2 linked regions of the Callithrix jacchus genome follow. The protein of the gene in region 1 binds, or shares a complex with, the protein of each later gene. Links are inferred from orthologs where the notes say so. Each region holds a gene or a part of one and is shown on either strand. Other genes may lie near its edges.

Region 1 (4,303 bases):
CCTTGTCTTTAAAAAAAATAAATAACTAAATGAAAATTTTCATTATCACTTTCATATGGGGGTGCAATTCCAGATGGAGGGATGGATTCGATAGTTCCTGATGTTCAGTTTTAGATATCTGCAGATTCCTTTTCTTAGTCATAGATAAAGTAGAATCTCATGGCTTACAAAAAAAAAAACAGGGTACAGCCCATTCCTGATTTTGCCCTTCTCTTCCAAATTACTTGGCAAACTGTCTGAAAAGGGAAAGAAAGTCCTCATAGGACTGCAGGAGAGTCTGAGGGGGAGGTCAGGGCCACCATCAGGTGGGTTTAGCCAGGCCTTGGCTCTAGGCTTCAGGCAGTGCCTCTATCCCTGCCCAGCAAAGTCAGTAAGTATACAAGGGGAGCCCTAAAATGGAAGTATTGATATAGCTTCAACTTACAAATGGGAAACTAAGGTCTGGAAAGGCAAAGGCAATTGCCCAATGTCCCAAAGGTCCACCAGTGGGTTCAAGACAGGGCAGGGGGAGTCATGGAAAATACCCTGGCCTCGGAGACAGGGTCTCCAGCAGGTGCCTGGAAGCCCATGGTGTCCTCATCTTTCTGACAATCCATGTCAGCAGGACAGCAATGACACTTATCCCCCCAAGTCACAGGGAGATACAGAGAGACCCAAGAGAGGCTGAGTCACCCTGATCACAAGGCAGCCCAGGAAGGACACGGGAGGGGAGAATGGCTCAGACTCCCTGCCATGCCCTGCAGGAAGAAAAGCCCGACCTCATGGGTCAAGAGAGTCTTAATTTCGGGGCAGATGGATGCGGCTGGGGAGGGAGTCACACATCTTCCTCCTGCGGACAGAGGCCTAGGTAACAGTGCTGGCCAGCCAGCTGCAATGGGGACTAGCCATCGAGGTGCATTCAGAGACACCATGATCTTCTGCAGTCTCCCTCAAAGGCCTGGGCCTCCAGCACAGAGCAGAGCACCCCTCCCTGGCACATGAGGGGCCTGGCAGTGCCCTAGGGCCATCCACAGAGACATGACCAAGTGGACTCCAGCCTCTGCCCTGCCTCTAACCCATCTTGACCTTAAGCAAATCACATGACAACTCTAACCCTCTGGTTCCTCTGCTAGAAAACAGGAAAAGGAAAATTAACCTCCTGGAAGAGCTGTCAGGAGGATGGTTGGAAAGTAGTTTCTAAACATTAAGAGCTTGAGTTGCTTCGGAGACTTAGTTTCTTCCTCTAGAAAATGGAAATAATCTCTGGAAGCCCTTTCTCATGCTGTTGAGAGAGAGCCTTAGATGGCAGTGGCCCTGAAAGGTGGTGCCCTCTGGGGTGGTCTCTCTAGTTTGTTAGTTCCTTCAGGGGAGGAAGGGGCCTTGCACATCTTTGATCCCCCACAATATGCCTAGTATACAGCAAGAGCTCAATAAATAAATGGAAACAAGGAGAGGGGAGGGAAGGGAGGAGGGAGAAGGTGGACACAAGGATAGGAGGGGAGGAAGACAGAAAACAATGAGAAAGAGGGATGGAAAGGGGGTAAGACGGGGACCCCAGGGAGAGGCTATGTGCAGACTTAGTGGATAGGGAGGGCAACGGGGAAAACTGGGTGACAATGCTGAGCCCCTGAGGAGTGCTGGTCCTATCTGAAGGGCTGCCCCCAGGGGCTGCCCTGCTCTAGCCTCTTCCCCTTTTATCCCAGTTTCCCCTTTCAGAGGCATAGACTGCCTCTTTCTGAGTCTTTCAGGCCAGGTTTCAGGAGAACAGAGGGGCTCTCCCAGCCCTAGGTTCAAAAGAGCTCCTGGCCAGCCACTCCTCAGGAGGTCAGAGAAAAGGGAGCAGAGGGTATGGATGGGATCTGGATGGGATGGGATCTGTTTTCCCAAGGCTGGGGGTGGTGGGGAGTGCTCTACCCTGTGTGATGTGTGTATTTCCACTTCTGGCCATGTGGGGCCTGGAGCATGTGTGTCAGCGGGCCTCGGAGCTGGCAGCTTGTGCCTGTAGGGTGCCAGTCTTTGCAGGCATCAGTCTGATTGTGTCTGTGGGGGTCAGTGTTGGTGTGGCTTTGCGCTCCGCTGTGGTGAGACCTGCCAGCAGCACAAGTGTGTGTGCCAGTGAGAGTGATATGTGTGCCAGCAAGGGTGTTTGCTACAGCGAGTGCAGGTGACAGTGTGCATATCAGTGTATGCCCACACGTGTATACCAGCACTAGGGTGTGTTAGAACTGGTGTGTGTTGGAGTGTGACCTGTGCATGCCAACAAGGCTGTCAGCAAGAAAGTGTTGACTGAGGCGTGTGTGACGGTGTGCCACTGCGTGATGAGCGTGTGCCAGCGGCTGCCAGTGTGTGCACCAGCATGCATGTGCCACGGGTTAGTGGGTCCGTGCGTGTATTGTGTGTCAGTCTGCCTCCGTGCGTCTCTGCGCCTGCTGGCCAGTGCTGGGTGTCAGCGAGCTGCGAGTGTGTCCGGGCCAGGAGCCGCGGCCCACATGGGGCGGCCCAGCCCTTGCCCTTTAGTCTCCACCGCCCACGGCCCTGCCGGAGACCACACAGGAGACCTCGGGTGGAGGAGAACCGGTACGTGATCCCAGGGTGGCCCTGAACGTAGAACCAGGACGCAATCGGAGCCCCCGCCCATGCCCTCGCCGAGGTCGCCCCCACGCGCCCCGCGCCCGGCGGCCACCCTGCACTCACCGTGTCCCTTTGTCGCCCATGGTCCGCGACGGTCGCAGAGAGGTCCGTGGCGTCAGCGCCCAGGCTGGAAAATCCCCGGCCAGCAGGAGGAGCGCGGGCCAGCCCGCTCCCGGCTCCCTGCTCCGCCTCCTCCGTTCTCCCGGCCGCCGCCGCTGCCGCCGTTCCCGCCCCCGGTCCCCGCCCGCCGCCTGCCGCGCGGAGCCGCGCAGAGCCCGGGCCGCTGCCAGGGGCGTGGAACCACGCGGGGTGTGTGCGTGTGTGTCTGTGTGTGCGAGTCTGCGTGTGCGCGCACCGCCCAGCGAGCCAGGGCAGTGCGGCTGGACGCGTCAGGGCCCCAAGGTTCGCGTTTGGGGGTGTCCCCCCGGGTGTGCGTCCGTGTGTGAGCCTGTGTGTGTGTGTGTGTGTGTGCGCGCGCGCGCGTGTGTGTGTGAGCCTGTGTGTGTGTGTGCGTGTGTGTGTGTGTGTGTGGTGGTGGTTTGGTGTACGTGATGGCTCACGGCTGTGTGCGAGCCCTGTTAGGGAGTGTATTGGTGTGGATGGAGGAGTGTGCACGTCTTTGTGCAATTGTGCGTGTGTGCGCACGGCCGTGGGTGCGAGCGCGCTCTCCCGCGCATGCCGGGGCAGCCTTTGTGTGTGCGGGTGATTGGAACCCGAGGGTTTGGCGACCCCGAGGCCGAGCTCCCTGCCTCCCCTAGCTTAGCAGAAGACCCCAGGATGTCTGGCAAGGCCTTTGCCCTGTGCTCCACCCTTCCCTATCCCATCCCACCTCACCCAACCCCACCCCCTTCATCTGGAGAGGTAACACCGAACCACCCTAGGGGACAGGAAGAAGGGGTGGAGGGGGCAGTAGACGGCCTTGACGCTGGGGAATTGAGCAGAGACCAGAGGTTAGCAGGGGCTGCAGGAGGCCACCCGGAAAGAGGAAGCTTCGAGAAGTGAGAAGAGGCGAGAAAGGAAGAAAGCAGAGCTGGCCTGCTGCTCCCGCTGGGTAGCACGGTGGAAAGCGTCCATGCCCAGCGCCGTGGCCTGCTGCGGGTGACCCTGTACACCAAGCTTCTGAGAACCCATGTCCAGACCTGTAAAGTGAGGATACACTAATATCAGCCTGCAGAATTGTTCATAGGTTGAAAGAACTCGCTTGTGTTTGCTGACCTCCCCTGAGTACCTGCATACAGTAGGTGCCCAGCAGATGTTAGCTCACTCCTCTGCAGGCTTCTTGATGTCCTGTGAAATCTTGGCTGGGACCCTGCTTTGTCTGAGGTGCCTTCCTGCTTTGCAGGTAGTGGGAAATTGTAAGGTTTTTCCTACACCCTCACTACTGAGATTTGGCTAATTAGCCCTAATAGGTCCCTGATATCTGAGTATTAAGGGAAAAGGAAGCTATCATTTACTCTGATGCTGTTGTCGGTATGCAAACATCTCCTGTAATTATGTCCAGAAGCAGTTACCTATACTGTTTATATGCAGCATAATTACTATAATTACGTCCAGATTTGGCAGAGGGGCAGGGGGAGGCTGATGGGTAGGCAGGGTGGCCCACCTCTGGGCAGTGTTAAGAGCTAGAGAATATGGATGAACCCTCCTCCCAGTCTTGGCCTCTGGGCTTCACCGTCACCCCGACAGGGAAAGA
Region 2 (4,101 bases), on another chromosome or scaffold:
TTGAGAATTACTCCTGGAGAAACAAATCTCACGCTGGAACTTTGGCCACATTCCAATGTGCGTAAATGAATCCTGCCCTCCTTGTTTCATGATAGTGATTAGGTATTAATTTTCATTTCTTTTGTTTAGTGAAATGTTGGGATGATGTTTAGTGCTGGAAAACAAGTGGAAAATTCATCCCTAAGCCAATGTGCTACATTTTGGCAGGAGGTAGCTAGTATCCTGGAAAAAGATTATGCTTCGTTTTGTGACTGATCACTATTAAAAGAATGGACAAGAGAGACAACAGTTTTATTTGGAAAAAAAGATAGTTTGACACGAAATAAAAATGAGGATGATGTACCCAGGGAAGTTGTAAAATGTTATTGCTGAGAATCTTTCAAAATAAGACCCATCTCTTCAATTATGTTATTCCAGCTATTACCTGTCATAAAGTAGAGAAGTGAAGCAGGTGACCTTTTGACAATTATCCCAGTTATTTTCTTCAATACAAATATTAATTTCCACTTAAAGATAATGATCACTTTTTTGTTAGATTTATGTTTGTTGAACTTACCAATTTTAATTGAAGTGACATAAAATCAAAGATAAGCTCATCATTTGATATGTGTAATTGTGGGATAAATCATCTGATTTATACTCACTTGTTTTCATATGTATACCACAATTTTTTTAAAAGCCCATTATACCAAATAGAGTGGGTCACAGAGTATATTTTAAGCATTTATAATATTTTTTTTGTGTGTGGTTTTTCACACATTTTCTCATTACTAATCATATATTTCTGAAGTTTGAAAAATACCATTCAATTTAAATAAATAGAAAGGTGCTCATTTCCTTCAAGCTCTGAAGTGTGGCCTATTCATTGTGCCAGCATAATTTTCTATGATTTAGGTTTCACACTTCATTGGTAATGGCCTAACTCATAAAACTACAGTTTTATATCTAGATATATAGTATCTAGGGGCAGGAGGGGTTTCAATGCTAAGAGATATAGTTGCCATATTCTTCTTCAGCTAATAAAGGTAAGTATTCTGGAATTTCACTGTTTTATTTCTGAAATTGTAGGTTTCAAGACTTCTGTTCCTCATTTTCCATCATGAGCTCCTGCGTTACTCTGAACATAAGATAACCTTTCAGCATGTTTATTCAAAGTATCTATATGTTCCTGCTTGGTGATCAGAATCCAATAGGATGGACAGGTGTGAGAAATCTTTGTAGATATAAATCACTACCCATTATGAAAGGAAAAATATTACAGTCATTTCTGGTGTACAATAACTTCCAAATATATTCATATTCTATTGGGCTGCTTTTAGGAACAAGGTAAATAGGAATATAAAATCATAATTATTCATTGGAGTGTCCTAAACATCTTTGGTAGGAACTGTTATTGGTAGTTTAGCATAATGCCAATCTAGATCATTTTAGCCTATATTAAATATGCTCCTCCAAACAATTAGAGCTCAGAGAGGAATCTTAAAATGTGTGATCAGATAAACCAAAGTAGACTTCACCCCCACAAACTCCCCTCCACCCATCACAAAGAAACATACTGTAGCTCTGTTGAACAGTTCTAAGAAATTCAAGCAAAGAAACTCTAAGGAACTATTGTTCATACTTAGCTCACATCTATGTCAACTCACATTAACCTCAACTTTGAATATTCCAATATGTATCTACATATAGACCCCAAACATATCTACTACTATTCAAGTAATAGTAGAAATATTTATAAGCAAATTAGTTGAGCCCTTAACCACCCCGATCTTTAGAGGTGTACAGCTTTATTTGCAGAATTTACAATATCTAAAATAAAGTGGGAGATGCTGCCTTAATATATTTACCTAAAAGTGTTATACCTTAGAGAATCGTCCACCTTTGTTGACCCCAGGAATAACTAGAAGAAAATTTAATGAAATTCTTAAGAAACAAGCTTATTGGATATATCACCTAGTCTATTTTTGGATCGCAAATCTCCCGCCCTCTCCGAGTTATCTCACTGTCAGATAAGAAAATGGAACAGGGTCGATGAAAAGATATGCTCCCTGTCTGGCTTTTCGATTTTTCACTCAAGCCAAAAGGAGTAAAGGGCAGCTAGTTAAGGTTCCTTTCCAAGCGTGCTTGCGGGAGGGCAAACCTCTGGCCGCCTCCGGCTTCAGAGCTTATCCAGACTGTGTGGACCAGGTCCCGCTGACCGTTGCCCACCTCTGCCGGCAACCTCCACACCCACAAGAAACCGCCAGTATGTCAGCCAGTCATCGCGCGGATTCCTGTGCACAAAACCTTAGGGAGCCCCCAAATAGAAACAAAATCTGAGCCCAGAGCTGAGATGGAGGTAGTTGGCTGCTGAGACTGGTCTCTTTGATGGTCTGTGAGGGCTAGTTGGTCCCTCCACCTCTCGCACCCTGGCTGTAGATCTGTGCCCTGAAATCTCCCTCCTCCCAGACACAGACGTGGGCGCACACACACAAACTCTCACTCACGCACACCCACATCGCCTCTGCCCTCCACCCGTCCCACTCCAGGCAGTACTGTGGGGACTGGTCCACGCTCTGCCTCAACTTTCCTGGCTGCGCCTGCCCCACGCGCACCCGAGCTTCTGCGCCCAGGCTGGGCGCCCTCCAGAGGGACGCGTCCTCCTCTGGGCCCCCCTTACCTCGCACCGACAACTCCTGGTAGGAACTGGAGCTGACCGTGGTGGCAGCGACGGCGGTGAGCCTGTACCCGGGCTCTGGCTCATGGTGGGTCCTCCTCATCCGACACAAAAGAGGTAGCTTGCTGGCTTTGTCCTTTCCAAATCCAAGGGAGAACTTATTTTGCCCTCGAAATGGCCAACTTGTGCGCGCAGCTTCCTGTCACAGTGCCCCCTGCCCCCGCCCCCTCCTGGCGGCACGCTGGACCACTGCCCGGTGGCAGAGCATCCAGGCCTCCGAGTCAGTGGGGAGTGGGAAAACGGAGGGTGGAGTAGAAGAGAGGGAGGAGGTTGGGGAAAGGGGGGACCCAGTGGTCTTCCGTGGAGGGGAGGGGAGCACTTCCCAGCCGAGTCCCCTCCTCCTCCTCTTATCAGGCAAACCCACTTCCTAGGCGTGGAAGCAACTTTCCTTCACCTTGACCAAGCTGAAACCATTGCCTCTAATTGGGAGTCTGGGCAGAAGCACGGACCTCCTGGCATCCTCTCCTTTTCATTCTTTCTTCCCTGTCACGTTCTTCTTTTCCCTGTCCCCCTCCCCCACCCTCTCTCCTTTTATAGGGGTGTATCTGCAGAGTCTTCAGTGAACCAGGGTACCTAGACGAGAGGATTATTATACGCAAAGGCGGGGTGGCTTTGCTGACTCCTTTGCCTCACTCTGAAATCCTTAGGCAGTGCATGCAAAGGCCAGCGAATTTCGGAGTGGGGTGAAGGGGCATGGGGCGGTAGGGAGGGTGGCGGCTCCAACTTTGAAGCCCTGCTAGAGCTCTTGGCTTTCGGGTGAGGAGGGACTAACTGTCCGGGGAACTCTCCTGTGGTCCCTGCGCAGGGGGCTGACCACAGGCGGGAGGAGACCCGGAGAGCAGGAGCAGAGAGGGAGCGTGAGAGCCAGGGAAGCCGGTGCGCAGCTCAGCCCTACTCGCAACTCTACTGCACTCTGCGAGCCGCTGGAGAGGGTTTGTGCAGAACAATCTCTGGGTCAGGCAGGAGGGAGACGCTCCTGTTTCCTAGCAACCCGTATCAATCTTGTCCCTCTGAAGGAATTCGATTGGACAGCCCCTGGAGAGAAGCCACGCCCATCCAGGAATGCTGGGCTGCTGCTTTTTCGCATTCTCCCAAATTTCTTGGGTGGAATAAGATTATAGCGGAGTGCTCAATTATCTTTCTTTTTATCCTTCTATGCTACCACCTCGCCTTCTTAAAGCTAACCCCCCCACCTCCTCATTAGTCCTTCTCTAGTCCTATTATGGTTGTCAGATACAGTCAATGTTTCCTACAGAACCTCTTCTTTCTTCTTAAAATTAAATAAATAAATAGGAAATCGATGACGTAGGCACAAAAGAGAAAAAGGCACACGGAAATAGCTTTAATAGGCTGCACACTACAGATAAAATCCTAAAGGTAAAATA

What was found. Proteins that work in one complex are often made in the same cells at the same time.
Region 2: the proteins of ARRB1 (region 1) and GRM3 are in contact, whole or in part, in a cryo-EM structure (PDB 9II2), measured with the Homo sapiens proteins. The link is inferred for Callithrix jacchus from reciprocal best matches to the Homo sapiens genes ARRB1 and GRM3. Residues at the interface, in NP_004032.2 of Homo sapiens: Gly5, Thr6, Arg7, Val8, Phe9, Lys10, Lys11, Ala12, Ser13, Pro14, Tyr21, Arg25, Arg65, Glu66, Asp67, Leu71, Gly72, Leu73, Thr74, Phe75, Arg76, Lys77, Arg103, Leu104, Lys107, Pro133, Arg236, Phe244, Asn245, Thr246; in NP_000831.2 of Homo sapiens: Pro605, Lys608, Ala609, Ile669, Phe670, Asp671, Gly672, Val673, Lys674, Asn675, Ala677, Gln678, Arg679, Lys681, Phe682, Ser684, Cys761, Pro762, Glu763, Phe765, Val834, Val835, Thr836, His837, Gln855, Ser856, Ser857, Ala858, Ser859, Thr860.

Annotation. Positions count from the first base shown.
Region 1 is NC_133511.1:65,597,430-65,601,732, reverse strand, and holds the start of ARRB1 (beta-arrestin-1), read right to left. Parts: upstream 2,807-4,303; 5' UTR 2,694-2,806; coding exon 2,674-2,693; intron 1-2,673. UniProt on the Homo sapiens protein: Functions in regulating agonist-mediated G-protein coupled receptor (GPCR) signaling by mediating both receptor desensitization and resensitization processes.
Region 2 is NC_133512.1:63,164,237-63,168,337, forward strand, and holds the start of GRM3 (metabotropic glutamate receptor 3), read right to left. Parts: upstream 2,805-4,101; 5' UTR 2,744-2,804; coding exon of another isoform or gene 2,660-2,743; intron 1-2,659. UniProt on the Homo sapiens protein: G-protein coupled receptor for glutamate. Ligand binding causes a conformation change that triggers signaling via guanine nucleotide-binding proteins (G proteins) and modulates the activity of down-stream effectors.